Linked DNA regions of Anolis sagrei. The protein of the gene in region 2 binds, or shares a complex with, the protein of the main gene of each other region. Links are inferred from orthologs where the notes say so. Each region holds a gene or a part of one and is shown on either strand. Other genes may lie near its edges.

Region 1 (7,156 bases), on a different chromosome or scaffold from region 2:
CAAATAAAAAGGAACATGAGAGAATGCTGCAATAAATGTTAACAGCAACAAGAATTGTATATGTTCCAAGGTGAAAAATGACAGAAATACCAACTATAGAAAATTGGACAGTCAAGATGCAATAAATAATAGAAACAGACTAATTTAACAATGTTGTTGATAGATAAGACATTGGGCACAATCTTAGAATAGAAACCATGTGTTGTCAAAGGCTTTCATGGCTGAAATCACTGGGCTGCTGTGATGTTCCAGTAGCATTCTTTCCTGACGTTTTGCCTGCATCTGTGGTTTGCATCTTCAGAGGTTTGTTCTGAGGACTGTTGGAAGTGAGGCATGTAGAGTGTATATATCTGTGAACTGTCCAAGGTTGGGGGGGGGGGGGGACCTTGTCTGTTTGAAGCAAGTTTTGCAATTAGCAAGACTGAGTAGAATTGAGTAGCCTTGCACCCCCCCCCCCCCGGTGGTTCAATGGGTTAAACCACCAAGCTGCGGAATTTGCTCACCAAAAGGTTGGTGGTTCAAATACGGGGAGCATGGTAAGCTTCCACTGTTAGGCCCAGCTTCTGCCAATCTAGCAGTTCGAAAACATGCAAATGTGAGTATATCATAGATACCTCTTCTGTGGGAAGGTAACAGTGCTCCATGCAATGATGCTGGCCTCATGACCTTGGAGGTGTTTATGGACAACAGAGGCTTTTTGGCTTAGAAAGGGAGATGTGCACCACCACGCAGAGTCGGATACGACTGTTTTATGAAACCTTTACCTTTACTAGCCTTGCAACTGCAGAGTCAGTCAGTGTTGTAGTCTGGAGATATCTTTTGTTTGCCAATAATAGACTTGCAGAATACTACTGGAACAGCCCGAAAAACTCACAGCAACCCAGTGGAAACCATATTATCAAGATATATCTGGGGAGAATGAAAGACTTTATATATAGGTTTGGTGACATAAAATGTTGGGATATTCATTTGCAAATGTTAAAGAAAACTAAAGTAAACAATTGGCTGGATATAAAGTGGAAGAAAAACAATTAAATTGATCGAGAAACTGAAAAAAAGAGATGTTGGAAATCCACTTTGAAAACTAATGTTGTAGAGTTGTAGGTAGAAATGTATGTTCTTCGGGTTGTCATACTCTAAGTATGTCATGTTTTATGTACAGGGTGAGGCAGCATAACTTCCTTTTTAAAAAATGTGCTCAATTTAGTCGGCTGAAGACGAAGTGGAGCGCTAGTGGTCTCATTCGAGAAGCGGGAGTATAAAGTTTTGTCCTGACACAGTTCAGTCCATCATGCATTGGAACAGTGAGGAGCATACTTTTGCCATTGAGGCCTACTTTTCGAGCGGATTTGGAGTGGCCGGCCAGCTCTCCAGATTTGGCCCCTTGTGATTTTTTTTCTAATCCCGTGTTTATGCGAACCGTCTAAGGACCCTACAAGATTTGAAGACCAACATCCAGGAAGAAACTGCCAACATAATGCCTGCTATGCTGCCAAGTCATGACAAACACCAGAAATTGCTTTACTCAGTGTATGGCGAATGGGGGACGTCACCTACCTAATTTGATCTTCAAAACTATGTAAAACAAAACTTTAGGTATGCGGAGCTTGGAGCAACGTCAATTCCAGACAATTTCACCCTATGTCTGGAAGCTCTGTCAAACTGGCTACGTGCTAACAGACTGAAGATGAACCCAGCGAAGACTGAGATTCTCTGGCATGGTCGCCTGGCAGGTCTGACTCCATTACCCACCTTCGATGGTGCTGCCCTATCTCCATCGATCACTGTTAAGAGCTTAGGTGTTGTCCTGGATTCACAGCTGACAATGGAAGCTCAGGTCACTGCTGCCAGGAAACAGGCCTTTTTCCATCTACGACAAGCGAGGCAACTGGCACCCTACCTATCTGACGAGGCTCTGGCAACTGTCATCCATGCCACGGTCACGTCTACGCTGGACTATTGCAACGCCCTGTAGGTGGGCCTTCCGATGTCTACGACCCGAAAGCTTCGTATTGTTCAGAACGCGGCAGCCAGGTTACTCACAAGAACGCCCATGAAATACCATATAACACCAGTGCAGCAACATTTACATTGGCTTCCAACTGAGTACCGTGGCCTGTATAAGATGCTAGTTCTGACCTTTAAAACTCTTTACAGCCAGGGTCCATCGTACCTTAGGGACCGCCTCTCCTTCTCCCATCATCGGAGGTCGCAACAACCAGCCCAACGTGACTTACTCCATATACCGGGTCCTAGAGAAGTGCACTTGGAAAGGACCAGACGCAGGGCTTTTTCTATTTCTGCCCCTGCCTTGTGGAATTCCTTGCCACCCTACATGAGAGCCATGCGTGACTTAGGGCCTTTTACTCTCGCACTTAAGACCTGGCTTTTTACTAGAGCATTCGATCTCTGTTGATTTTTAATTTTTGTATGTATGTATTTTATCTTTTGTAATTTAGCCTAGAGCATTCTCTAGGTGATTAATAAGTTATTAAATGATAATGATGATGATTTAAAAAAAATTCTGATTCATACAATGGGTTTTATTAAGTTTTGAAAAAAAGGAAGTTATGCTGCCTCACCCTGTATTTACAAGTATTGCTCCTTTTTGTGTTTTTGTTGTAAAAAAAATAATTAAAAATATTAGGAGAACAAAATAGAACAAAGCTGCTTCTCGAGTTCCTTCATCCCACTTCCAAGAAAACTGACAGAACTTCCCTGACGCAGGGCCTCAAACATAGGTTTCGCCTGAAGCTAATGGCCAAGGAAGCGGGGAAAGAGCATTTACCACTTCAGTCATTTATCTTTTTAATTTGCCAGACAAATATGACAGCTCCCCACTTCTCCCAAACGCCACGCTTCCCCTTCCCCTTCCTCCTCGTCGCGTTTCCCTCAGTTTGTTACCAAGAGGTAGAAGCTGAGACGGGTTGGTCGTCGCGTTGGCCGCCATCTTTGCGCCAGACCCAACTAATCAATTCCACCCCCTCCGCGCGGCGCTGCTTCGAGCCTATTGGCTAAATAAGGATCACGGGGGCTGTGACGCCACAAAGAATCGACCCGGCGGCACCGCTCAGACAGGTCCAACCAATCGATGAGCGAGCAGTCGAACGGTTTCAACAGCGGGGAGGAAGAGGAGGCGGGGACGAGCTCATCTAGTCACATGAGGATGCTTCACTGAGCGATTGGTGTATGGTTTATAGCGGGATCCAACTCTAAACGAAACGCAGATCTCAAGCTATTTTGTATTGTACGGCACCCACCACGACAAGTTGCAATGACAGCAGGAATATACACACTGCGAATACGATTGCTTCCTGTGTATTCATAGAATCACAGAGTTGGAAGAGACCTCATGGGCCATCCAGTCCAACCCCCTGCCAAGAAGCAGGAATATTGCCTTCAAAGCACCTCTCACAGATGGCCATCCAGCCTCTGTTTAAAAACCTCCAAAGAATGAGCCTCCACCACACTCCGGGGCAGAGAGTTCCACTGCTGAACTGCTCTCAGTCAGGAAGTTCTTCCTAATGTAGGTGCATCCACTCTGTAAGATTAATGAATCCTACAGAGTGGATGTAGGATTCATTTGAACTTCTATGGCTCAGTGCTATGGAAATCATGGGAGTTATAGTTTCACAAAGTCTTTCACCTCCCTTAGTGCTGACCCATGGCAGTTTAAAGTGATGTCATACAGGACGTACATAGGGGGAAATGAGAAATAGTAACTAAAGCTACTTTAGGTAAAGTTAAAGGTTTTCCCCTGATATGTAGTCCAGTCGTGTCCAACTCTGGGGTATGTTGCTCATCTCCATTTCTAAGCCGAAGAGCGGCGTTGTCCGTAGACACCTCCAAGGTCATATGGCTGGCATAATTGCATGAAGCGTCGTTACCTTCCCGCCAGAGCAGTACCTATTGATCTACTCACATTTGCATGTTTTCAAACTGCTAGGTTGGCAGAAGCTGGGGCTGACAGCAGAAACTCATGCCGCTCCCCAGATTCGAACCTGGCTGCAGTCTGCATCTGCAGTAATCTTTGCACCTAGAAATACAAAGTCTGTCACGGCCTCCACATTTTCTCCCTCTATTTTCTAGTTGTCAATCATTCTTGTTGCCATAATCTTGGGTTTTTTAATGTTTAGCTGCAACCCGGCTTTTGCGCTTTCTTCTTTCACCTTGATCACTAGGCTCCTCAGCTCCTCCTCGCTTTCGGCCATCAGAGTGGTGTCATCTGCATATCTGAGGTTGTTAATGTTTTTTCCAGCAATTTTCACCCCAGCTTAATATATAATATATAATAACATAATATATTGTATGTATAAATAGCTTGTAAGCCGCTCTGAGTCCCCTGCAGGGTGAGAAGGGCAGCATATAAATGTAGTAAATAAATAATAGTAGCAGGACTTTCTTTCTATGGCGTTCTGAGGGTGCTGTCCCTTTAAGAGCAGAGCCCTGGCAACTGGTTGCCCAGAGGAACCAGCCTGAGGTAACAGGTCAGGAAACTTTCTTCTTCCTGTGGCCCTAATTTGGCCAAGGCGGCCAGTAACTTCCCTCGGCTATTGGACTTTGTGACTAGAGACCTTCACGCCCAGGTTCCTCGTTCTGTCCTCTCCCTCCCTCCCTCCTCGGGACTGGCTCGGCCTCCCGGCCCTCGGCGGTGACTGAAGTCCGCTCTCTTCCGGTTTCCTGAGCTCTCGGCGCGAGGGCTTCGGTAGGCGCCACTGCGCGTGCGCCCTCCTTCTTGGCGCATGCTCAGTGGCCGCCTCGCGCCGCTCATCCGGAGAGTGGGGAAGGAGCCTGTCAAGAGTGGAGGAAGGCAGGCGGCTCTCCTTCCCTTCATGGAGCGGAGGGGCCGAGCGCAGGGCGACCTCCCGCCCCGAGCCTCCAAGGGGCCCGTGCTGCATATCGCCGTGGTCGGCTTCCACCACAAGAAGGGCTGCCAGGTGAGCAGGAGGCAGGCAGGGAGGGAGGGTCTCTCGCTTCCCCATCACAAGTTCCCTTTCCCCAAGTCTGCGCCTCCAGCTCCTTCTCCCAAAGGCTGCCATTGGATTCCTCTGCTTCTCAGTTCCCTCCCCCTTCATTCCTTTTCCACCCTCAGGGCAAGATTTGGGAGTATTGCTTAAGACAGGTATCTCAGGAGTATTGTTTCTTTCAATCTGGACAGGTGTCTCAGGAGTATTACTAAAACAGGTATCTCAAGAGTATGATTCCTTTCAATCTGGACAGGTATCTCAGGAGTGTTATTTCTCTCACACTTTTGACTTCTATTGCTACAAAATATAGATCGGGTATTTATTATTTATTTACTTACTGTATTTGTATACCGCCTTTCTCAGCCCGAAGGCGACTCAAGCCAGTTAACAGGGTAAAATTCAATGCTTACAATATCATAAATACAATTAAAAACAAGACATATAATAAAAATTAAACATATCAATAAAATATAAATTCTTAGTGTCGCCTTGTTAAAAACGTTGTCCAGTCTCATTGTCGTCTTTCCATTTTTCTATGTCAGTTACTCTGCACTTGGAAACGCTTGTTCAAAAAGCCCTTTTAACATTTTCTGGAATGTTAAAAGGGAGGTGGCCGATCTAATATCTATAGGGAGGGCGTTCCACTGCTGAGCGGCCACCGCCGAGATGTCCCTGTCTTGTCTCCGCCAGATGTACTTGTGATGAAGGCGGTAACGAGAGCTGGACCTCCCCAGACAATCTTAAGGTCCTGGTTCATAAGGGGAGATGCGTTCGGACATGTAAGTTGGGACAGAACCGTTCAGGGCTTTATAGGCTAAAGCCAGCACTCTCAATTGTGTCCGGTAGCAAACTTGCAGCCAGTGGAGCTGGCGCAACAGAGGAGTTGTATGCTTCCTGAGCGCTGCACCTGTTAGCAATCTGGCTGCCATTCGTTGGACCATTCAAAGCTTCCGGACAGTCTCCAAAAGCAACCCCACATAGAGTGTGTTGCAGTAGTCTATATGGGATGTAACCAGAGCGTGGACCACTGTAGCCAGATCAGACTTCCCAAGGGATGGGCGCAGCTGGCGCACAAGCTTTAACTGTGCAAATGCTCCCCTGGTCACCGCCGAAACCTGGGGTTCCAGGCTCAGCGATGAGTCCAGGATCACTCCAAAGCTGCAAACTTGCATCTTCAGGGGGAGTGCAACCCCATCCAACACAGGCTATGTAATCCTATGCCCTGTTCGGCCTTACGACTGACCAGGAGGACCTCTGTCTTGTCTGGATTCAGTTTCAATTTGTTTGCCCTCATCCAGATCATCATAGCGGCCAAGCATCGGTTCAGGATCTGAACAGCCTCCTTAGTTGCAGGAGGGAAGGAGTGATAGAGTTGGACATCATCTGCGTACAGGTGACAGGTATCTCTTGACAAGAGGGCCAGAATCCTCCAAAATTGACTGCTTGGGTGACTGAGACAGTGATACTTCGGCTTTTCTGATCCTTAGGCAATCCCTCATAGCTCGAGGATGATTGTCTTCCAGATGTGGTGTCTTGGCGGTGGATCCGTAGGTGGCTGTGGAGCCCAGTTCTTGATCCACATGTTCTTCTGCAGTGAGTTTCCAGATGGGAGGCGGTCCAATCAGGGTTGGCTTGACACGCCTTCCTTTGGGCATGTTTCTCCCTTTCACCCTCCATTTGTGCCTCTTTGAATTTTGCAGCACTGCTGGTCACAGCACTGCTGGTCACAGCTCACCTTTAGTTAGAGTGCAATATGAATGGGTTCCTGAGTTAGTATGCTCAACAAATATCCCCCTTGTATAGAAAATAGAAAATAGAATTCAATGTATAATTGTATAAACTTGTTATACTGTTCAAGTTTACAGTGATCACAAACAATATTATATGAGTTTTTGTACAGTCACTTTGAAATGGTATCAACGTCGTGTCTTCTTATGTTGAGTTGCATATGAATCAGCCATCCACGACCGGTTTTGTTCTTTCTCCAGGCCTTCCTCTAGTGGACTAAAATTATTATATACATCAAAATTTGCTGCAAATATATATATTGAACATCATATACTGAAATACATTTGAAGTTACTTCCAAAGTTATAAACTTAGCACTTATTATATACATCAACATTTGTTGCAAATATATCCATTAAACATCACATGTTAAAACACATTTAAAGGTACTTACAAAGTTAT
Region 2 (7,553 bases):
CATGGTATCAAATTGCTGCCTTTTTGTAAGGCCGCTCTGAGTCCCCCTCTTGGGGTGAGAAGCGCTGGATATAAACATAATAAATAAATAAATAAATAACTGCAGCAGCTAAAAAAGCCTATGGGTTTTGGGCTGCATCAAAGGAGTATAGTGTCTAGATCAGTGGTTCTCAACCTGTGGGTCCCCAGGTGCTTTGGCCTACAACTCCCAGAAATCCCAGCAGGTTTACCAGCTGTTATGATTTCTAGGTGTTGAAGGACAAAACATCTGGGGACCTACAGATTGAGAACCACTGATCTAGATCAAGGGAAGTCATGGTGCCCCTCTCTTCTGTTTTGGTCAAATCTCTTTACCTGACAAATTCTGTGCACCACAGGTTAAAAGAGATATTGACTCTAAGCTGGAAGGTGTCCAGAGGAAGAGGGCAACTAAAATTATCAAAGATCTGGAGACCATGAATAATCCCTCTAACGAGCGTCTTCAAGGACTGGGTCTGTTTAGCCTGCAGAAAAGAAGGTTGAAAGGTGACATGAGAGCCACGTATAAATACGTGAAAGGATATCATAAGGAAGAGGGAGCAGGCTTCCTTTCTGCTACCCTGGAAACTAGGGCTTGGGACAATGGGTTCAAATTACAAGAAAGAAGAACATTAGGAAGAACTTCCTGACCGTACAAGCTGTTCAACAGTAGGACTCTCTGCCTCGAAGTGTGGTGGAAGCTCCTTCCATGGAAACTTTTAAACAGAGACTGGATGCACATCTGTCAGGTTTACTTTGACTGTGCTTTTCCTGCATGGTAGGGGTTTTGACTAGATGGACTATATAGAATCATAGAATTAAAGAGTTGGAAGAAACCTCATGGACCATCCAGTCCAACCCCCTGCCAAGAAGCAGGAATATTGCATTCAAATCACCCCTGACAGATGGCCATCCAGCCCCTATTTAAAAGCTTCCAAAGAAGGAGCCTCCACCACACTCCGTAGCAGAGAGTTCCACTGCTGAACGGCTCTCAAAGTCTGGAAGTTCTTCCTCATGTTTAGATGGAATCTTCTCTCTTGTAGTTTGAAGCCATTGTTCCGCGTCCTAGTCTCCAAGGAAGCAGAAAACAAGCTTGCTCCCTCCTCCCTGTGGCTTCCTCTCACATATTTATACATGGCTATCGTATCTCCTCTCAGCCTTCTCTTCTTCAGGCTAAACATGCCCAGCTCCTTAAGCCGCTCCTCATAGGGCTTGTTCTCCAGACCCTTGATCATTTTAGTCGCCCTCCTATGGTCTCTTCCCACTCTATTATTTTATGATTTCCACTCTATCTGCTCCCCATGATGATTCCAGGTATACAGATGCCCCCCTCCACTTTCTCCTGCCATAAAGGAGCCCCCTACTCCCTTCCTGACAGGGCCAAGCCTGCCTTTTAAGATCTGAGGTAACCGTATTTCCCCGGGGTCTGAACGTGCCCTCCAATCTAATGAAAGTTGCCATTTTCAAAACCCTGAAACCAAAGAAAAGTATTTGTTGCTGAATGTCATGCGAAGCAGTGAAAGCGCTGTCCATGTAATTCAGCCATTGCAATTGCTGCCTGTTTACGATTCCTTCTTTAAAGACAAAAGTGTTAGAAGACCAAAGCTTCCTCTGGAATGTTTCCAGAGGAGGGTGACTAAAATGATCAAGGGTCTGGAGAACAAGCCCTATGAAGAGCGGCTTACAGAGCTTGGCATGTTTAGTTTTCAGAAGAGGAGAGGAGACATGTATAAATATGTGAGGGGAAGTCATAGGGTGGAGGGGGCAAGCTTGTTTTCTGCTGCCCTGGAGACTAGGATGGAAAACAATGGGTTCAAACTACAGGAAAGAAAGGAGATTACACCTGAACATATTTATTTATTTACCTTACTTATATACCGCTGTTCTCAGCCCGAAGGCGACTCACAGCGGTTCACAACAAATACAAACAGCAAAAATTCAGTGCTACAGTATAAAAACAGTTAACAACCTAACACATTACACAATTAATAAACAGTTACTACAATACCCATTCACTATCGTCTCATCATCAAAAACATGTTCCAGATTCGTCATCTATTGTTCCATTCCAGTGTTCATTAACCAATCATTGCACTAATTATTCAAACGCCTGCTCAAACAGCCAGATCTTCACTTTTTTGCAGAATACCATTTAGAGATGGTGCTAGTCTAATGTCCGTAGGAAGGGCGTTCCACAGCCGAGGAGCCACCACCGAGAAGGCCCTATCTCTCGTCCCCGCCAGCCATGCTTGAGAAGCAGGCGGGATTGAGAGCAGGGCCTCCCCGGAACATCTCAAAGTCCTGGTGGGTTCATAGGCAGAGATGCGGTCGGATAGGTAGCTTGGGCTGGAACCGTTTAGGGTTTTAAAGGCCAACGCCAGCACTTTGAATTGAGCCCGGTAGCAGATCGGTAGCCAGTGGAGTTGAACTTCCTGACTGTGAGTGCTGTTTAGCAGTGGAACCCTTAATCTGCCCCAGAGTGTGGTGGAGGCTCCTTCTTTGGAGGTTTTTAAGCAGAGGCTGGATGGACATCTGTCGGGGATGCTTTGAATGCAATTTTCCTGCTTCTTGGCAGAATGGGCTTGGACTGGATGACCCACCAGATCTCTTCCAACTCTAGGATTCTATGATTCCAGCAATGGTAAATGATAACCTATGGGGTGCATCTCTTCTGTAGAATGGGTCCACTTTAACTGCCTTGGTTCAATGCTATGGAGTCATGTGGGCTGCCGTTTGACAAGGCCTTGAACAGTCTATTGATGCCTCACCAAGCTGCAAATCCCAGAATGGCATAGCATTGAGCCATGGCCACTGAATTTAAGCTGCTTAGAGTCTCCTTGAGGAGAGAACAAGAGGGATACAAACAAACAAACAAACAAACAACAGTTTTCAGGCCCATAGGCCTCGTAGGCTCTTACCATCTTACTCTCCAGGCTCCACAGCCACGACTTCCGCTTCCGCCGGCGCCACTTCCACCTTCAAATCAGCCCAGCAGCCAATTACGCGCTTCGTCTATTGCCCCTCCCGGCCTGAGCGCTGATTGGCTGCTGCTCTGAGTCCTGATTGGTCGCTGCTCCTTTGTGTCCTGATTGGTCGCTGCTCCTTTGTGTCCTGATTGGTCGCTGCTCTGAGTCCGAACCCTTCTTTGGGCGGAAGTGGAGCGGAAAGTCACTTCTGTTGGGCAGCGGAATGGTCGTTTGTGCTGTATTTCGAGTTGTGATCTTTTTGGTGGATTACATGTATATCCCCGTTGGTATCCTATTACATTTCCCTTTCTTTTCGTTTTTCTATTTCTGCCAGGATCATCTTTGCATAGGTTTATCTTCACTTTTATCCCCTAAATTATATTATTATTATTATTATTATTATTATTATTATTATTAAATAATAAATAAATAAGATCGAACTGCAAAGACTCTGGCACAAGCCAGTCAAGGTTGTCCCAGTGGTGATCGGCACACTGGGTGCAGTGCCTAAAGACTTGCACTGCATTTGTCCTGCACTTAAACACAATTGGTGCTGACAAAATTACCATCTGCTAGCTGCAAAAGGCCACATTATTATTGTTATTATTATTGTTATTATTATTGTTATTATTATTATTATTAAAATGGAACTGCAAAGACTATGGCGCAAAGCTAGTAAAGGTGGTCCCAGTGGTGATCGGCACACTGGGTGCAGTGCCTAAAGACCTTGGCCTGCACTTAAACACAATCGGCGCTGACAAGATTACCATCTGCCAGCTGCGGAAGGCCACCTTACTGGGATCTGCATGCATTATTCGCCGATACATCACACAGATCTAGACACTTGGGAAGTGTCCGACGTGTGATCCTATACAATAGCCAGAAGAGTGTCTGGTGTGGACTCATCTTGTTGTGTTTCTAATAATAATAATAATAATAATGGCACAAGACAGTAAAGGTGGTCTCAGTGGTGATCGGCACACAGGGTACAATGCCTAAGGTCTTGGCCTGCACTTAAAGACAATCAGCACTGATAAAATTACCAGCTGCCAGCTGCAAAAGGCCACCTTACTGGGATCTGCACACATTATTCATTGATACATCACACAGTCCTAGACACTTGGGAAGTGTCCGACGTGTGATGCAATACAACAGCCAGCAGAGTGTCTGCTGTGGACTCATCTTGTTGTGTTTCAAATAATAATAATAATAATAAATTGTTATTTATTACCTGCCTCTCCTGATGGCTCAAGGCGGAGTACAACAAAGTCAAAAATGTATGTATATATATATCTATATACACACACATTATATATGTTATATTTTCATACTAGCTTGGGGACCCGGCGGTGCCCGTGTTATTTGAGAAAGGCATTGTTTGTCTGTGCTCCAAGTTTAGCCTAGATACAATGTCAGCTTGGTTCAGTGGGTGCAGGTGAACCAAAACTCCCATATGCAAGTCCCATCATCCATGGTCCATCCTCCTCCAAACTGCACCAGGATGTGGAATGGGTCACGGGGGCTCTGTATGCCAAGTTCAATCAGTCATTGGTGTGGGTCGCAATGGTCTCAGGAAGTGAGTGAAGGTACTGAAAGTCCCATCATCCATGATCCATTGTCCCACAAACCACACCAAGATGTAGAGTGGGTCAATGGTCTGAAGAAATGAGTGAAGATACTGCAATTCCCATCATCCACTCTTCCTTTTTCCTTCCATTTTCCCCAACTTAATATCATATATATATATAATAATGTGTAAATATATGTTATGCACACATTGCATATGTTTACACATTATATTATATATAATATATATATAATATATACTTTATGCATGCATTATATTAGTTGTTTTTTTTGTCGTGTCAGGAGAGACTTGAGAAACTGCAAGTTGCTTCTGGTGTGAGAGAATTGGCTGTCTGCAAGGACATTGCCCAGGGGACACCCAAATGTTTTGATGTTTTTACCATCCTTGTGGGAGTTTTCTCTCATGTCCCCGCAAGGGGAGCTGGAACTGACAGAGGGAGCTCAACTGCGATATCACCGGATTCGAACCTGCAACTTGTCAGTCTTCAGTCCTATTTTCCAGATCACCAGACTGGGCCACAGCAATGCATGGCAGGGGACAACCATGGTGATCTGGAAAATAAGGTAATGAGAAAGTGTTGGTTTCTTATGTCTGTAATTTCTTTATACTTGTGGGTAAACAGTAACTCTTGCTGTTTCTTTGTCAGGGTTGATGTGGAGATTGTCTGTTCGGACTACTCAGGAAAAAGGCAAAATATAATTGTCCTTCTTTAGGGACCCCTTTCAAATCTATGATACTATATCTATGTGTATCTGAATCATATCTATCTATGTATGTATGTATGGCTGGATGGCTCTTTGTCAGGAAGGCTTTGATTACATTTTCTTGCCCTGGTGAAGGGAGTTGGACTGGATGGCCTTAAGTATTTTCTGTTGGTCATGGGGGCTCTGTGTGGGAAGTTTGCCCCAATTCTGTCGTTGACGGGGTTCAGAATGCTCTTTGATTGTAGGTGAACTATAAATCCCAGTAACGACAGCTCCCAAATGTCAGGGTCTCTTTTCCTCAAACTCCATCTTTATTCATATTCGGGCATATGGAATATTCATGCCAAGTTTGGTCCAGATCCATCATTATTTGAGTCCACAGTGCTCTCTAGATGTAGGTGAACTACAACTCCTAAACTCAAAATACTGCACCAAACCCTTGCAGTATTTTCTGTTGGTTGTCTACAGCTCCCAAATGTCACTTCAGAATGCTCTTTGATTGTAGCTGAACTATAAATCCCAGCAACTACAGCTCCCAAATGTCAAGGTCTATTTACCCCAAACTCGATCTGTTGTCACATTTGGGCATATGGAATATTTGTGCCAAGTTTGGTCCAGATCCATCATTGTTTCAGTTCAAGGTCAATGCCCACCAAACCCTTCCAGGTCTCAAGCTTTAAATACCTGGGAGTATTCTATCACTGCACTGGAAACAAGAAAGTACATGTGGATTACGTAGCAGATGCAGCGCAAAAGAGCTCATATGCTATCCTAAAGTTTCTCAAAACGGGAGGAGGCCACTACATACCAGCAGCACTTAAGCTCTTTGAGGCAAAATCCATAGCACAAATGATGTATGGAGCCCAACTCGGTCCCTTCTCAAACTATGCCCCTCTGGAGCAAGTACAATCAAAATTTCTAAGATCGGCGATGCAGGTCCCCAGATGTGTCTCAAACGCCACCCTGCGATTAGAGGCAGGCGTCATGACAGTGGAGGCAAGAGTGTGGACAGCCACCCTCAATTATTGGCTGCATCTGTCTCTCTCAACATGTGGCCTTGCTCCGTTAACTCTGAGAGATGAATTTCAGTCTACATGGAATAAGGCAGTGGCAATCAAAATCACAATTCTAGGCTTCCCTCAAGGACAACTGCTAGGTATGGGATGGGACCAAGCCAAGGATCTTATTAGACAACGGATCCTGGATATAGAGCGACAATCAGACTTAGCCTGCTCTCCAGCATTCACCATTAGCGAAGATAACAGATATCTCACCGCTCCCAGGGCTTACTTAGCAAACCTGGAGGTGCCTAAACACCGAAGAGCTTTCACTTTGGCAAGAAGCCATGCCCTTCCATCGGCAGTACTGGAGGGGAGGTACTGGAAGACCCCTGCCCAGGAGAGACTGCCCGTGTGATTCTGGCTACATTGAAACAACTGAACATGTGCTCCTCCAATGTGTATTCTATAGAGACATTAGAGCTAATTTCATCACTCCATGGCTTTTAAAACATCCAGGGCGCACTGAAAGATATTACACCTCCTTGTTGCTCTCGGACTCTTGCTCTGTGACAACCTACAGTGTTGCCAAGTTCTGTGCAGCAGCAATTAACATTAGACGGCTGATGACCGACTCCACCAGGCAACTTCCTGCCGGGAATATAGTTAGAATGATTTGTAATAACTGAAATGCTGTAAATGCTCCCCTCTCATCCCTTTTTAGAGCTTCCCAGTTGTCTGATATTTGTTATTAGCCGCCCCGCTATTTTAGATTCATACATGCACTTTAAACTGTAAGTTTAGTCTGCTTTTTAATCTGTCTCTTTTATAACATGTTTTTAATCTGCTTTTTATCTGACCTACTTGGGAACTGCGATTCCCTTCCTTGGGCACCTGTGCCCCATTTTATACTGTGCTGGTCAAAGACCGTAATAAATCACTGATTGATTGATTGTAGGCAGGCCCGTAGCCAGGATTTCGTTTCGGGGGGGGGGGGGGCTGATTTTTTTTCAGGGGGGGTTTCGGGGGGTGAGTTTCGGGGGGGGGCTGAGTCTGAGTAAAAGAGGGTCTAGCCTAGCAAACCTTTTGTATCATTACCCCAATACCCCTATGCATATGGGATATATTGAGTATGGTGATCAGATCATGATATGAATAAACATAACAGTTGAAATAATGCACCAGTAAGGCCTTTTCGCGAACCACCATGAAAATTTCGGGCGGGGGCTGAAGCCCCCCGAGCCCCCTGCCCTGGCTACATGCCTGATTGTAGGTGAACT
Region 3 (7,428 bases), on a different chromosome or scaffold from region 2:
AGGTGCCCTTCAAACTTTCTTCTTAGGGCCCTTCCATAGTCATATAATCCAGAATATAAAGGTAGAAAATCCCACAAATCTGCTTTGAACTGGGTTATCTGAGTCTACACTGCCATATATCTCAGTTCAAAGCAGAAAATGTGGAATTTTATTCAGCTGTGTGGAAGGGGCCTTAAACTTCATATGAACTAACTTACATAGTGTGCTGCTTTTAAGGAATCAAGCCTGTTCATTAAGTAGTTTTTTTATCGAGACATGCTACATTTGTCAAAATGCAATGATCACAGGGACAGAAATTGAGGTGAGAGCTCCTGAACCGGGGGAGGAGGGGGGGCAGACAGAAAAACAAACACCACAGGGGTGCTATCCAAAGCTTGCTCATATCTATATAAATAAAAATGTAATGTTCGTTTGTGGGATTATCATAACTCAAAAACCACTGGGCGAATTGTCGCCAAATTTGGCCACAAGACACCTAACCCAAGGAGTGACCATCACTAAAAAAATGATTTTTTTTTCATTTGGGAGTTGTAGTTGCTGGGATTTATAGTTCGCCTACCATCAAAGAGCATTCCGAACTCCACCAATGATGGAATTGAACCAAACTTAGCACACAGGACTTAAAAGATCAACAGAAAACAGTAGACGGGTTTGGTGGGAATTGACCTTGAGTTTTGGAGTTATAGTTTACCTACACCCAGAGAGCACTGTGGACTCAAACAATGATGGATCTGGACCAAACTTGACACGAATACTCAATATGCACAAATATGAACACAGATGGAAGTTTGGGAAAATAGACCTTGACATTTGGGAGTTGTAGTTGCTGGGATTTATAGTTCACTTACAATCAGAGCATTCTGAACCCCACCAACGATAAAATTGAACCAAACTTTCCACACAGAACCCCCAGAAAATACTTTTTTTCTGATAGTTTTGGTGACCCCTCTGACACCCCCTCATGACCCACCCCAGGGGTCCCAACCCCCAGGTTGAGAAATGCTGCTTTAAGGCCATCCAATCCAACTCACTTCACCAGGGCAAGAAAACATAAAGCCCTCCTGACAAAGAGCCATCCAGCAATAGATATAGATAGATATGATTCACACATACACACACACATATGTATATATATATATATGACAAATATAGTATCATAGATATAAAAGGGAACCCTAAAGAAGGACAATTACATGTTGCATGTTCCAGAGTAGGCAAACCAGACAATATCTACATCAGTGGTTCTCAACCTGGGGTCCCCAGATGTTTTTGGTCTTCAACTCCCAGAAATCCTAACAGCTGCTAAACTGGCTGGGATTTCTGGGAGTTGTAGGGCAAAAACATCTGGGGACCCCAGGTTGAGAACCACTGCTCTACATCAACACTAAGAAACAAGAAGAAATACTGTTTACCCTCAAGCATAAAAAAATTACATATATTAGAAACCAATACTTTCTCATTACTTTATTTTCCAGATCACCAAGACTGGGCCACAGCAACGTGTGGCATGGATGGCTAGTATATATATATATATAGAGAGAGAGAGAGAGAGAGAGAGAGAGAAAGCGAGTTACACTTCAAAAATGTACCTGTTTCAAAATTCTGAAATACAAATTCAATTTAAGAACAAACCTACAGAACCTATCTTGTTCATTTGGTGACAGCCTGTACAGCACCTGGTTTCTTTTTTCTAAAAAATACTATTTTATTTCTTGGCCCATAAACCTAACTATTTGTTCAAAAGAAAGAATTAGTCATTTGTGGTTCATTTTCTAATTTGTGGTTGAAATGTGGCTGCCTTTAGCCCCCTTCACTAACCTATGGTAGAACAAAAACATCAGGGGAGCCCAACTGACCCATCCTTAATAGTTTCCCCTCGTTTTGTTTCATTTTTGAAGTACGTTATTATCCGTAAAGGAAACATAATGTTAGGAAAACAAGGTGTCATGGTCAACAAACAATGTTGCCAAAAATGAAACCAACCATTCAGTGGTGAAGCTTAATTTAAAAAAAAACAAACACAAACACAAACAGTGAGCACCATGTGTCTCCATGTCTGGCTGCAACTTGGAAAGAGCAATCAATAACACTATGTAACGAAATTTGAAAAATGTTCTGTTCCTAGTTTGAGAAAGTGCAATTTCCTGTTTAATTGTGCGGTACTTGCTTTGAAAGTAGTTGTTCCATTCCAGAACCTTCGCTTTTGTGGCTGCTGCAAACTTTTTTAAATTAATGTATTGTCGAAGGCTTTCATGGCCGGAATCACTGGGTTGTTGTAGGTTTTTTCGGGCTATATGGCCATGTTCTAGAGGCATTTCTCCTGACGTTTCGCCTGCATCTATGGCGATCTTCCTCAGAGGTAGTGAGGTCTGTTGGAACTAGGGATAAAGGGTTTATATATCTGTGGAATGACCAGGGTGGGACAAAGGACTCTTGTCTGCTGGAGCTAGGTGTGAATGTTTCAACTGACCACCTTGATTAGCATTTGATTGCCTGGCAGCGCCTGGAGTAATCTTTTGTTGAGAGGTGATTAGATGTCCTTGTTTGTTTCCTCTCTGTTGTTGTGCAGTTCTAATGTTAATTTAAATATTTTAAATTAGACCATTTTAGACCACTATTTTAAATTAGTTAAGGAGCTGAGGGGGAAAAGGAAAGGGCCTTTTCCCTTGAAGTTCAAAAGTCCAAAACACCTGGAGGGAGGCCCCAGGTTTGCCCATGGCAAGTGTACACGCTCTCACTGTAAAGCCACGAATACAGCCAATGGCGTCGAGGAATACCAAGCACGTGACCCCAAGAGGCTGAAGGTCCTGATCAGTCCCTCAATCGCAGTCCAAATAGCACGGGGCGCAGTAGGCCCAACATCCGGGCCCCGTCAGCAATCCTCTTCCAACTCACCCAAAAGCAGAGAAGGTTTCGACGGATCTTCCCCACCGTCGCGACTACACGCACACCTCTCCAACCGAGGCGCAGGCCGGCTCCCTCTAATCTAAAGTGACGTCGGGGTTACGTCACCAAAGGAAGTTTCCGGAAGCCCTTCTCCGATTCGCCCATTTCCGGTTAAGCTCAGAGCGCGCGGTGGGCGGGGCTAAGAAGACTTTGCTCCTTCAGATTTCTTTGGACTTCGCTTCCCAGAATTCCTGAGTGTTGGCCACGCTGGCTGAGGCTTCTGGGAGTTGAAGTCCAAAACCCCTGGAGCACCCAAGATCGGGAAGCGGGGCAAGGTCTTGAAGATCTGTAGCAGGAAGCGGGGCAAGTACATGCAAGGAAGAGTGGGGAGACTCACCCTGCCTGATAAAGGAATGTTAAGCTGAGAAAGCCACCCGAGTCTTTGGTGTGAGAAAGAGATAGGAGAGGCTTAAATGGCCCTATTGCATTGCACTGTTGTCGCGCTGTTGTTCCGCTTTAACTGCCATGGTATGGAATAATGGGATTTGTAGTTTGATGGGGCCCTCTTGAACACAGAAGGCTAAAGAGAAGGCAAAGCTACAATATAAATAAAGTGTTGTTATTATTATTAATTCTCATGATTTCATGGTAGTACTGAACCATGGTGGTTAAAGTGGTATCAAACTGCATTAACTCTGCAGTGTAGATAGACACTTAAGTAAATACATTCGTTTTCCCCTCATATGCCCTTGATGACAATGGTCTGTTCTAAAGGCTCTCTTCATAATGTATTTGTGGAAATAACAAAATAAACATAGGGTTGCTGTGAGTTTTCCGGGCATTTTCCAGAAGCATTCTCTCCTGACCTTTCTCCTATATCTATGGCAGGCATTCTCAGAGGTTGTGAGGTATATTGGAAACTAAGCAAGGGAGGTTTATACGTCTGTGGAATGGCCCTGGTGGGAGAAAGAACTCTTCTCTGTTTGAGGCAAGTGTGAATGTTGCAATTAACCACCTTAATAGCATTTCAAATTTATTTATCGTGTCATCAGCAACCATACCATTATATTACATTTCTAACAGAGGAAAACAAACACACAGATTTTAAAAAAACCCACAGATTTTGCAAACTTGGTAGTTGGTTAAATGTCCTTTGACCAGTATCTGTCCACTTGGAGTGCCTCTGGTGTTGCCGCAAGAAGGTCCTCCATCGTGCATGTGGCAGGGCTCAGGTTGCATTGCAGCAAGTGGTCAGTGGTTTGCTCCTCTCCGCACTCGCATCCCGTGGATTCCACTTTGTAGCCCCATTTCTGAAGGTTGGCTCTGCATCTCGTGGTGCCAGAGCGCAGTCTGTTCAGCGCCTTCCAAGTTGCCCAGTCCTCTGTGTGCCAGGGGGGAGTCTCTCATCTGGTATCACCCATGGATTGAGGTGCTGGGTTTGGGCCTACCACTTTTGGACTCTCGCTTGCTGAGGTGTTCCAGCGAGTGTCTCTGTAGATCTAAGAAAATTATGTCTTGATTTAAGTCGTTGACGTGCTGGCTGATACCCAAACAGGGGATGAGCTGGAGATGTCACTGCCTTGGTCCTTTCACTATTGGCTGCTACTTCCCAGCGGATGTCAGGTGGTGCAATGCCGGCTAAGCAGTGTAATTTCTCCAGTGGTGTGGGACGCAGACACCCTGTGATAATGCGGCATGTCTCATTAAGAGCCACATCTACTGTTTTAGTGTGGTGAGATGTGTTCCACACTGGGCATGCATACTCAGCAGCAGAGTAGCATAGCGCAAGGGCAGATGTCTTCACTGTGTCTGGTTGTGATCCCCAGGTTGTGCCAGTCAGCTTTCGTATGATGTTGTTTCTAGCGCCCACTTTTTGCTTGATGTTCAGGCAGTGCTTCTTGTAGGTCAGAGCACGTCCAAAGTGACTCCCAGGTATTTGGGTGTGCTGCAATGCTCCAGTGGGATTCCTTCCCAGGTAATCCTTAGAGCTCGGGATGCTTGTCTGTTCTTAAGGTGAAAGGCACATGTCTGTGTTTTAGATGGATTGGGGATCAGCTGGTTTTCCCTGTAATAGGCAGTAAGAGCACCTAGAGCTTCGGAGAGCTTCTTTTCAACCATTTCAAAGCTCCCTGCTTGAGTGGTAATGGCACGATCATCAGCATAGATGAAACTCTCTGTCCCTTCTGGCAGTGGCTGGTCATTTGTGTAGATGTTGAACATGGATGGAGCAAACGTTTCAAAGCCTTGCAGCTTCAATGTTTGGCTGCTTCCTGCCTGGGGGAATCCTTTGTTGGGGGGTGTTAGCTGCCCTTGTTTGTTTCATGTCTGGAATTCCCCTGTTTTCAGAGTTTTGTTCTTTACTTTATAATTATATCATTTTTAAAAACATGGAAAAGTTTATTAAACTGCAAAAACTTTGTCTTTGCAGGATATCCTGCAGCACATTTTGCTCTAGTTTTTCAATGCATAATAATAATAATAATAATACACTTTATTTGTATTCTGTCCTTCTCCCCTAGGGGACTCAGAGCGGATTACAGCATATATAGGCAAACATACAATGCCTTTACAATCAAATACAATGAGACACACAAACACAAAGACAGAGGCTTCTCCTTTCATTTTTCCGGTTTCAGAAGGCAGTACTCATCTCTGGGGAGGTGCTTTTCTCAATTTTCAGGCCATGGAGCCTGCGTTGTCACCTCCTGGTTGTGTAGCCAGCAAGAGTCTCTTTGCTTTTTCCCACCGAAGCAGTCCCTATTTACTCAAATTTCCATGTTTTCGAACTGCTAGGTTGTCAGGAGCCAGAGCTGACAAACGAGAGCTCACCCGTCTCATAGATTCGAACTACCAACTTTCAGATCAGCAGTTCAGCAGCACAAGGGTTTAACCCATTGTGCCGCCGTGGCTCCTTGAATATCTCAAGTCTCAACCAATTCAATATAGCTTGTGGCAGCCACAAAAACAAAGTTACTAGAGTATAACTACTTTCAAAGAAAGCACTACATAATTAAGTAGAAAATAACACTTTCAGACCAGGAATAGAACATTTTTTCTAATTTTGTTACATAGTGTTATTGCAAGTGAACTCTTCTGCTTTACTAGAACTGGTAAGTTATCTATAAAACAATGTGTTAGTAAAGATATACGTGAAGCATGTTTGTTTGTTTGTACCTTAAAGGCTCCTACATGGCTTGATGGATCAGGACCAGACTTGGTAGTAACATTATTCAACATAAAATATTAAAGGGATTTTAACTAAAACAAAACAAACAAAAAACAAAACCCCACCCCTACCACTTTTCCGATACACTCTTCTTTTTCAAAACAACCTACATTGGCAGCCCGTGAGCCTGATGCTGCAATGCTCAGGTGCAGCCATAAGGGGATGGTACATTGATGGAAAAGATACTTAAGAGGGAGAGATGACAAATGGTAGAGGGTTGTAGCATCTGCAGGGAAATATTGTAGAAGTCTCCTATATTAAATATATTTCTATATTAAAGAAAAATAACATTCTGAGCCTTCTAAAGAAGAGCTGTTAAGAAAAACTGCAGGTTTTTTTTTGTAAGGAAAGTACAATAAAGGCATATAAGATCCTGTCTGATGTTGGAAGATAAGTAGAAAAATAGCATCATAGAACCATAGAGTTGGAAGAGACCTCAAAGGCCATCCAGTCCAACTCCCTGCCAAGAAGCAGGAAAACTGCATTCAAAGCACTCCTGGCAGATGACCATCCAGCCTCTGTTTAAAAGCCTCCAAAGAAGGAGCCTCCACCACACTCTGGGACAGAGAGTTCCACTGCTGAACAGTTAGGAAGTTCTTCCTAATGTTCAGGTGGAATCTCCTTTACTGTCTTGGATGAAACCACCAATATAGGCTATATTTCAAATTACCTCTGAATATTTCTTGCCTAAAAAGCTTTGCCAAAAAGTTGTTGCCAAAAATGTATGGGATTGCCATCAATCAAAGGCATATACACAGTAAATATATAGCAGAGTGATATCACTATTTACAATCTGTCTGCCCAAAAACTGTCCGCGTCTCCCTGTGGCTTGAGGTGGGATACAACATCATTAAAACAAGAGATAAAACACTATTAAAAACATACAACAAGATACACAGAGTTAAAATATAAGTTAAAATCCACTGATAAAATGATGAATTACACTATGTAACATGATTTTTGTTCTTGGGTTATACATATCATTTCCTAATTGGTTCTATCATAATACCACAGAAAATGTTTATTAAACTGCATAAACGTTGTGTTTGCGTGACAACCTGCAGCACATTTTGCTATAGTTTTTCGGTGAATATCTCACAGAGTATCAACCAAATCAACATAGTTTGTGGCAAACACAAAAGCGAAGTTTCCGGAATATAACAACTACTTCCAAAGTAAGTACCACACAATTTAACAGGAAATAACATTTTCAAACTAGAAACATAAAAGTGTTCTAATTTTGTTTCATAGTGTTATCTGCTATGTTTCCACCACGTGAACTCAAATTGAACTTGTTTCTCAGACAGGTATTACCA
Region 4 (7,482 bases), on a different chromosome or scaffold from region 2:
GCTTGCCACAGATGCAAGCAAAATGTCTAGAGAAAATGCTACTGGAACATGACCATACTGCCCAAATGTTGGAAATTACAGCCTTCTTCAAGCCTCCTCTAGTAATCTGTTAATATATTCTGTTTTCTTACTGTTTTGTATGCCTGTTCTGATATGTAGCTTCTTTTGCTCTATGTTTCATGAGAGGTTGTGGGAGGGGCTGCACACCACATGATCTGATCTGAGACTGTTCAGACCTCAGACTCCATTTTAGATTTCTTCTTAGACTCAGACCAACACTTGCCTGCTGTTGTTGAAAGAAAGAAGCCTTGTGTCATCTGCACATAGAAACTATCTCAAATATATCTGAAATTGGACTGATAAGCTGTGTACCTGTGTTATGCTGAACATGAAGGCTGTGAGTAAAGCATTTTTTTTCAAAGCCTACAACTGAAGACATAATAATAATAATAATAATAATAATAATAATAACAACAACTTTATTCTTATATCCCATCACAATCTCCCCAAGGGAAGTTGAGGCGGCTTACAGGGGGATCAAGCCCAACATAAACAAAGGTTACAAGTAACATAATTAAAAACATTTAACAATAAAATATACTAAAACAATAAAACCATTGGAGTAAAAAAAACATAATAAAAGACATTGACACATACTATATTTGGTTGTATACTATTTGAGAAGATTCTACTCAAATGGGTTTTTGGCTCTTATTTATTTATTTATGACATTTATATGCCACCCTTCTCACCCTGAAGAGAACCTCAGAGCAGCTTACAAGATAGTAACCTACGGATGTGAGAGCTGGACCTTAGGGAAGGCTGAGCGAAGGAAGATAGATGCTTTTGAACTGTGGTGTTGGAGGAAAGTTCTGAGAGTGCCGTGGACTGCAAGAAGATCCAACCAGTCCATCCTCCAGGAAATGGGGCCCGACTGCTCATTGGAGGGAAGGATACTAGAGACAAAGTTGAAGTACTTTGGCCACATCATGAGGAGACAGCAAAGCCTGGAGAAGACAATTATGCTGGGGAAAGTGGAAGGTAAAAGGAAGAGGGGCCGACCAAGGGCAAGATGGATGGATGGCATCCTTGAAGTGAGTGGACTGACCTTGAAGGAGCTGGGGGTGGTGACGGCCGACAGGGAGCTCTGGCGTGGGCTGGTCCATGAGGTCACGAAGAGTCGGAGATGACTGAACGAATGAACAACAACATACATACACACACACAATACATTATATTATTAGCATCTTACAATATCTGTATTGTATATTACTATATTGTATAACTCTTATAGTATAATCTGCAAATGGTTGTGAATGCCATTTTCCAAACCAAAAAACTCACAAACAATCCAGTGATTCTGGTATGAAAGCCTCCGACAACACATTATTGTCTTTTCTAGTGAGTCAAGTCTTCTCCTGATACATATCAAGTATGATAACGTCTGGGTGTATCTATACTGCAGAATTAATGCAATTCGACTTTCACTACCTTGGCTCAATCCAATGGAATCCTTGGATTTGCAGTTTGATGAGGCACATCGATCTTTGGCAGAGGCGGCTAAAACTACACCTCTCAGGATGCCATAACATTCAGCCATTATGTGGTGTCAAACTACATCCATTTTACAGTGTAAATGCAGCCTTGGTTTAGTCACCTTGGCTTCTATAGAAAATTCACTGAGAAACCACACTCCTGCATCAATTCTGCAGTGTATATACACTTGGATTCAGAAGGATGAACATGTACCTTATGACAAGACTTGCTCTCCAAAATGAACTCCATGCAAAATAAGGCATTACATTAGGAATTGGGATAACATTAGGAATTGGGACAGTTCCATCCTCCTCCTGATATGTCATCTGTCGGGGACCTCTCCCTGCAGCACCAACTGCTGCTCTGGGCCAGAGTGAAGAGAGAGGGGGCCAGGGGACAGTTCCACCTTGTTTCCTGTGCTATTCTAATAATACAATATAATGCAATGTAATATAATATATTGTATATACATATAGGTAAAGGTAAAGGTTTTCCCCTGACATTAAGTCCAGTTGTGTCTGATCTGGGGTGTGGTGCTAATCTCCATTTCTAAGCCAAAGAGCTGACGTTGTCCATAGACACATCCAAGGTCATGTGGTCAGCATGACTGCATGGAGCGCCGTTACTTTCCCGCTGGAGCGGTATGTACTGATCTACTCACATTTGCATGTTTTCGAACTGTTGGGTTAGCTGAAACTGGGGCTGACAGCAGAAGCTCACGCCACTCCATGAATCTGCGACCTTTCAGTCGAGAAGCTCAGCAGCTCAGCACTTTAACCCACTGTATATTGTATATACATATAATATTTATAATATTATAATGTAATACAATATAATATGATATTTTAATAATTATATATTTATATTACATGTAATATTACTAATAACATTACAATATAATGGTATAGTACAATATAGTAATATTTAATACTGATGTGGTACTATGTTAATACTATAATATATAATATAATATACCTCTGAGGATGCTTGCCATAGATGCAGGCGAAACGTCAGGAGAGAATGCCTCTAGACCAGTGGTTCTCAACCTGGGGTCCCCAGATGTTTTTGGCCTACAACTCCCAGAAATCACAGCCAGTTTACCAGCTGTTAGGATTTCTGGGAGTTGAAGGCCAAAAACATCTGGGGACCCCAGGTTGAGAACCACTGCTCTAGACCATGGCTATACAGCCCGAAAAAACCTACAACAACCCAGTGATTCCGGCCATTGTATGTATATATCCCTTGTAAGCTGCTCTGAGTCCCCTTCGGGGTGAGAAGGGCGGCATATAAATGTCGTAAATAAATAAATAAATGTTAAAATCAGCCCCCCTTCTCCCTTTCATTTCCTCCCCAAAAGAGACGCAGGAGATAACGCGGTCACCCACCTGATCAACCTCGTCCGCCATTTTTTCAAAGGCGGTTCGAGTCTCTTCTCGCGGTATTTTATGCCCGGTCCGCTGTGTTAGCGGCAGGCGCTCTAGACTTGTTTTAGAGGCACTCTCACAGGCGCTCACTTCCGGGTCGCGTCCGTTTCCACAGAGCTTGGCTTCTATATAGTAGTGCTTTCGGACTCAATTTCCCAGAATCCCTCATCATGGCCCAAGGGTGTTGAGGATTATGGAAGTTGGAGTTCTAGGGGGAAAAAGAGGGATTGGGCAAACTTGGGCCCTCCGAGCGTTTTGGACTTCAACTCTCACCATTCCTCCCAGCCTCAGGCCCCTTCCTTTTGCCTCTCAGCCGCTTAAGCGGCTGAGAGGCAAAAGGAAGGGGCCTGAGGCTGGGAGGAATGGTGAGAGTTGAAGTCCAAAACGCCTGGAGGGCCCAAGTTTGCCAAGGCCTAGGAAGCCAACTTAGATCCTCCTCTTCCTCCTCCATCTCTGGCTGCGCCGGCACGCCCCCTAGTGGCCAGTGGCGCGCTCGCGTTCTGTCTCCATTGTTTTCCCCATGCGGGAAGGAAGCCCCCGAAGGAGCCGCCAGCGATGGGCGACAGCAGCAAGCGCAAGGGCCGCCCCTCGCTGCAGGGCGCCGGCAAGAGGCCCCGCGGGGACGGGAAGCCAGGCGGTGAGACCCCGAAAGAGCCATGAAGGCCGTGATGGAGGGAGGGAGGGAGGGGATAGATACACAGAATGCCCCTGACACACTGTAGAATGTAGAAGGAGCCCCCGGTGGCGCAGTGGGTTAAACCCCTGTGCCGGCAGGACTGAAGACCGACAGGTCGCAGGTTCGAATCCGGGGAGAGGCGGATGAGCTCCCTCTATCAGCTCCAGCTCCTCATACGGGGACATGAGAGAAGCCTCCCACAAGGATGATAAGAACATCAAATCATCTCTTGGGCATTCCCTGGGCAACGTCCTTGCAGAAGACCAATTCTCTCACACCAGAAGCGACTTGCAGTTTCTCAAGTCGCTCCTGACAAGACAAAAAACAAAAATGTAGAATGAAGTTTGGCACTGCCATGGCTCAAGCTATGGGATCGAGAGCCCTGTCGCTTTAAGGGATTTGGCCTTCTCTGCCAAAGAGTCCTGGTATTGTATTGTCTAAGGCAGGGGTCCTCAAACTAAGGCCCGGGGGCCGGATGCGGCCCTCCAAGGTCATTTACCCGGCCCTCGCTCAGGGTCAACCTAAGTCTATAATGACTCAAAAGCACACAACAACAATAACAACAATAACAATCCTATCTTATCAGCCAAAGGCAGGCCCACATTTCCCATTGAAATACTAATAAAATTATATTTGTTAAGATTGTTCATTTTAATTATTGTATTGTTTTTAATTTTTTTTTTGCACTACAAGATATGTGCAGTGTGCATAGGAATTCATTCATTTTTTTTTTCAAATTATAATCCGGCCCTCCAACAGTTTGAGGGACTATGACCTGGCCGTCTGTTTAAAAAGTTTGAGGACCCCTGGTCTAAGGCTTTCATGGCCAGAATCACTGGGTTGTTGTAGGTTTTTCGGGCTATATGGCTATATTCTCTCCTGATGTTTTGCCTGCATCTGTGGCAGGCATCCTCAGAGGTTGTGAGATGCAGGTGAAACGTCAGGAGAGAATGCTTCTAGAACATAGCCTTATAGCCTGAAAAACCTACAACAACTCAGTGATTCTGGCTATGAAAGTATTTGAACATTTTCCCATATATATATATTTATGGATTTTGTGCAGGAGAACGTCCCAGTGGATTGCACTCTGTTTCTGGTTAGTCACAACCCCTGAGGATGCCTGCCACAGATTCAGGTGAAACGTCAGGAGAGAATGCTTCTAGAACATGGCCATATAGCCCGAAAAACCTACAATAACCCAGTGATTCCGGCCATGAAAGCCTTTGACAATACAATACCAGCAAGCGTCCTCAGAGGTTGTGACTAACCAGAAACAGAGTGCAATCCACTGGGACGTTTTCCTGCACAAAATCCATAAATATATATGGGAAAATGTATTGTCAAATACTTTCATAACCGGAATCACTGAGTTGTTGTAGGTTTTTCAGGCTATATGGCCATGTTCTAGGAGCATTCTCTCCTGATATTTTGCCTGCATCTCACAAGCACTGAGGATGCCTGCCAAAAATGTAGGCAAAATGTCAGGAGAGAATGCTTCTAGAACATGGCCACATAGCCCAAGAAACCTACAACAACCCAGTCCTGGTACTTCACCCAACTGCAACTTTCCATAGCAGAGTGGAACCGCATTTATTCTACAGTGTAAGACCCCATCTGCGGCCCCTTCCATACAGCTGTATGAAACCCCACATCTGCTTTGAACTGCGTTATATTTCAGTGTGGACTCAAATAACTCAGTTCAAAGCAGATATGGTGGGATTCTCTACCTCGATATTCATGGCTGTATGGAAAACAGAAAGTGTAGGATTTTATTCAACTGTGTGGAAGGGGCCTGAGAGCGTATCAATAACCATTTACAGCTTTTGGCACTCTCTGGCCAGGATTCCATTGCATAACTCTGTACAAAACCGAACGAAAGGAAACAACAGAGATTATCCGTCTCCACCTTTTAAATGATTTTGGCTTCCTATGGAATGAGCATTTATTAATCTTCCAGGATGAAATGCACCCCTCCTTTTCCAGAATCGGCTTTCCAAAAGACTCAGCGGAAGCGTTTGATGTGTGAATGTCTTCAGCATTCCATGCTCTGCTGCTTTATGCAACAGGCACGTGAACAGAAGAGACTTTCGCCCAGTTGCTTCCAGCAACTACATAAGGAAAACTTGCTGTATAAGAAGAGGCTGTTAGACTAAGCAAAAAGTTTCAGATGAGGAAAATGACAAAATGTTTCAGAGAAGAAAAATCGAGCTTTTCTTTTTGCTTTTTTCTAAACAGCTTGATCAAGAAGAGAAAAGGCAACAGACAGTAGCTTTTGTTGAACCATTTTGGAGTGCGTTGTTTTCAAAAAAATTTATCTTCCAGACCAGACATGGGCAAACTTTGGCCCTTCAGATGTTTTGGAATACAACTCCCACAATTCTTAACAGCCAGTGCCATAGGCCCCTTAAAACATGCTGAACATTTTCCTATCTAAAACTGCATTCAAGAATCCCTCATGTTCTTGGAAACTAAGCAGTGTGAAATATTTGTATATCTTCACCCCAATGAATGCTAGCTGCTACAGGTTATATTTCAAAGAAAGGAACTGACAAAGCCATCTCTGAGGCCTCTTCTGCACTGCCCTATATCCCAAGTTCTGATCCCAGATTATCTGCTTTAAACTGGATTATATGAGTCTCCACTGCCAAATAATCTGGGATAATCATATAATCCTGAGATATAGGGGCATTGTGGAAGGGTTCTGAGTCTTCTTCGCTTAAGAAAACCCCATTAAATTGATGGGGTTGCCATTCGGCAACGGGTGACTTGAAGACATGTACGCACAAGTTGCTTTGCCTTATTTATTTATTTATTTATTTATTTGTCATGTCAGAAGCAACTTGAGGTTACAGTTATCATGTATTCAAAAACACAAACAAAGTTTAAAACTTTGCATTATACTAAATGTCCTTTGACCAGAAGCAGGCCACTTGGGGCCCTTCTCCACAGCCCTATATCCCAGAATATCAAGACAGAAAATCCCACATAATCTGAGCGTGGAGTCAGATAACCCAGTTCAAAGCAGATATTATGGGATTTTCTGCCTTGATATTCTGGGATATAGGGCTGTGTAGAAGGGCCCTTGGAGTGCCTCTGGTATCGCTGTAAGAAGGTTCATGTGGCAGGGCTCAGTGTGGAGAAGAGCAAACCACTTACTACAGTGCAGCTTGAGCTCCAGTGCTTTGCCTTGAAAGATGATACAAAAATATTGTGAATAAAAGTTTTTGTTATTGGCTATTTGATCACTACATATTTTAATTACAGTAATAGTATTAAGGTAATAACCCTAGGATAGGCTTGTCAGAAATTGGAGTCAGCTTTAAAACTTGTACGAATATTAATATTCCTGTATTTTATACTACCCAGAGTATTCTGCCCCAAGGACTGTACAGTTTGAAACCTTACATAAGCAATAATGGAGGAAGTAGACCCAGGTGGTTGCAGTTGCATGTTTAGTCTTCATTGTGCTATTAGCCTTCAGACATTTGCATAGGATGCTTGATTTCCTATCACTTGGTGGCTTGAAATGAAATGTATAAACTGACATTATATGTCATTTTTCTCAGTTATAGTTTATGTTCTCATCTACTCTATCTAAAAACAAGCCATAAAGACACAGCATGTGGGAGTGCTGCATTTTTAGTTTCCAAGGTTCAGCAGCTTTCATCATTCCTTGTTTTTAGAAATAGCAGTTTCTTCTTTCCCAGGATTGTTTAGAACAGTCTAAATAGACAGGTAAAAATATACCTCTGCCATCAGGCGTTTAATGAATGACGAGGTGCAGGCTGCTGGAGATGCTGGAAGTAAGATTGGGGGATTTCCATCTAAATGATGCTGGAAGTAAGA

What was found.
Region 1: LSM4 (region 2) and LSM5 share a complex: the UniProt entries of both Homo sapiens proteins name them as parts of the precatalytic spliceosome. The link is inferred for Anolis sagrei from reciprocal best matches to the Homo sapiens genes LSM4 and LSM5.
Region 3: LSM4 (region 2) and TXNL4A share a complex: the UniProt entries of both Homo sapiens proteins name them as parts of the precatalytic spliceosome. The link is inferred for Anolis sagrei from reciprocal best matches to the Homo sapiens genes LSM4 and TXNL4A.
Region 4: LSM4 (region 2) and LSM3 share a complex: the UniProt entries of both Homo sapiens proteins name them as parts of the precatalytic spliceosome. The link is inferred for Anolis sagrei from reciprocal best matches to the Homo sapiens genes LSM4 and LSM3.

The regions. Positions count from the first base shown.
Region 1 is NC_090026.1:72,054,766-72,061,921, reverse strand, and holds the start of LSM5 (U6 snRNA-associated Sm-like protein LSm5), read right to left. Parts: upstream 3,003-7,156; 5' UTR 2,951-3,002; coding exon 2,905-2,950; intron 1-2,904. Other genes in the region: late secretory pathway protein AVL9 homolog, read left to right, coding at 4,743-4,937. UniProt on the Homo sapiens protein: Plays a role in pre-mRNA splicing as component of the U4/U6-U5 tri-snRNP complex that is involved in spliceosome assembly, and as component of the precatalytic spliceosome (spliceosome B complex).
Region 2 is NC_090034.1:57,732,750-57,740,302, reverse strand, and holds the start of LSM4 (U6 snRNA-associated Sm-like protein LSm4), read right to left. Parts: upstream 3,024-7,553; 5' UTR 2,939-3,023; coding exon 2,936-2,938; intron 1-2,935. UniProt on the Homo sapiens protein: Plays a role in pre-mRNA splicing as component of the U4/U6-U5 tri-snRNP complex that is involved in spliceosome assembly, and as component of the precatalytic spliceosome (spliceosome B complex).
Region 3 is NC_090024.1:76,520,893-76,528,320, forward strand, and holds the start of TXNL4A (thioredoxin-like protein 4A), read right to left. Parts: upstream 3,004-7,428; 5' UTR 2,896-3,003; intron 1-2,895. Other genes in the region: probable 2-ketogluconate reductase, read left to right, coding at 3,412-3,414, 7,416-7,428. UniProt on the Homo sapiens protein: Plays a role in pre-mRNA splicing as component of the U5 snRNP and U4/U6-U5 tri-snRNP complexes that are involved in spliceosome assembly, and as component of the precatalytic spliceosome (spliceosome B complex).
Region 4 is NC_090022.1:52,142,597-52,150,078, forward strand, and holds the start of LSM3 (U6 snRNA-associated Sm-like protein LSm3), read right to left. Parts: upstream 3,024-7,482; 5' UTR 2,943-3,023; coding exon 2,922-2,942; intron 1-2,921. Other genes in the region: XPC (DNA repair protein complementing XP-C cells), read left to right, coding at 3,516-3,597. UniProt on the Homo sapiens protein: Plays a role in pre-mRNA splicing as component of the U4/U6-U5 tri-snRNP complex that is involved in spliceosome assembly, and as component of the precatalytic spliceosome (spliceosome B complex).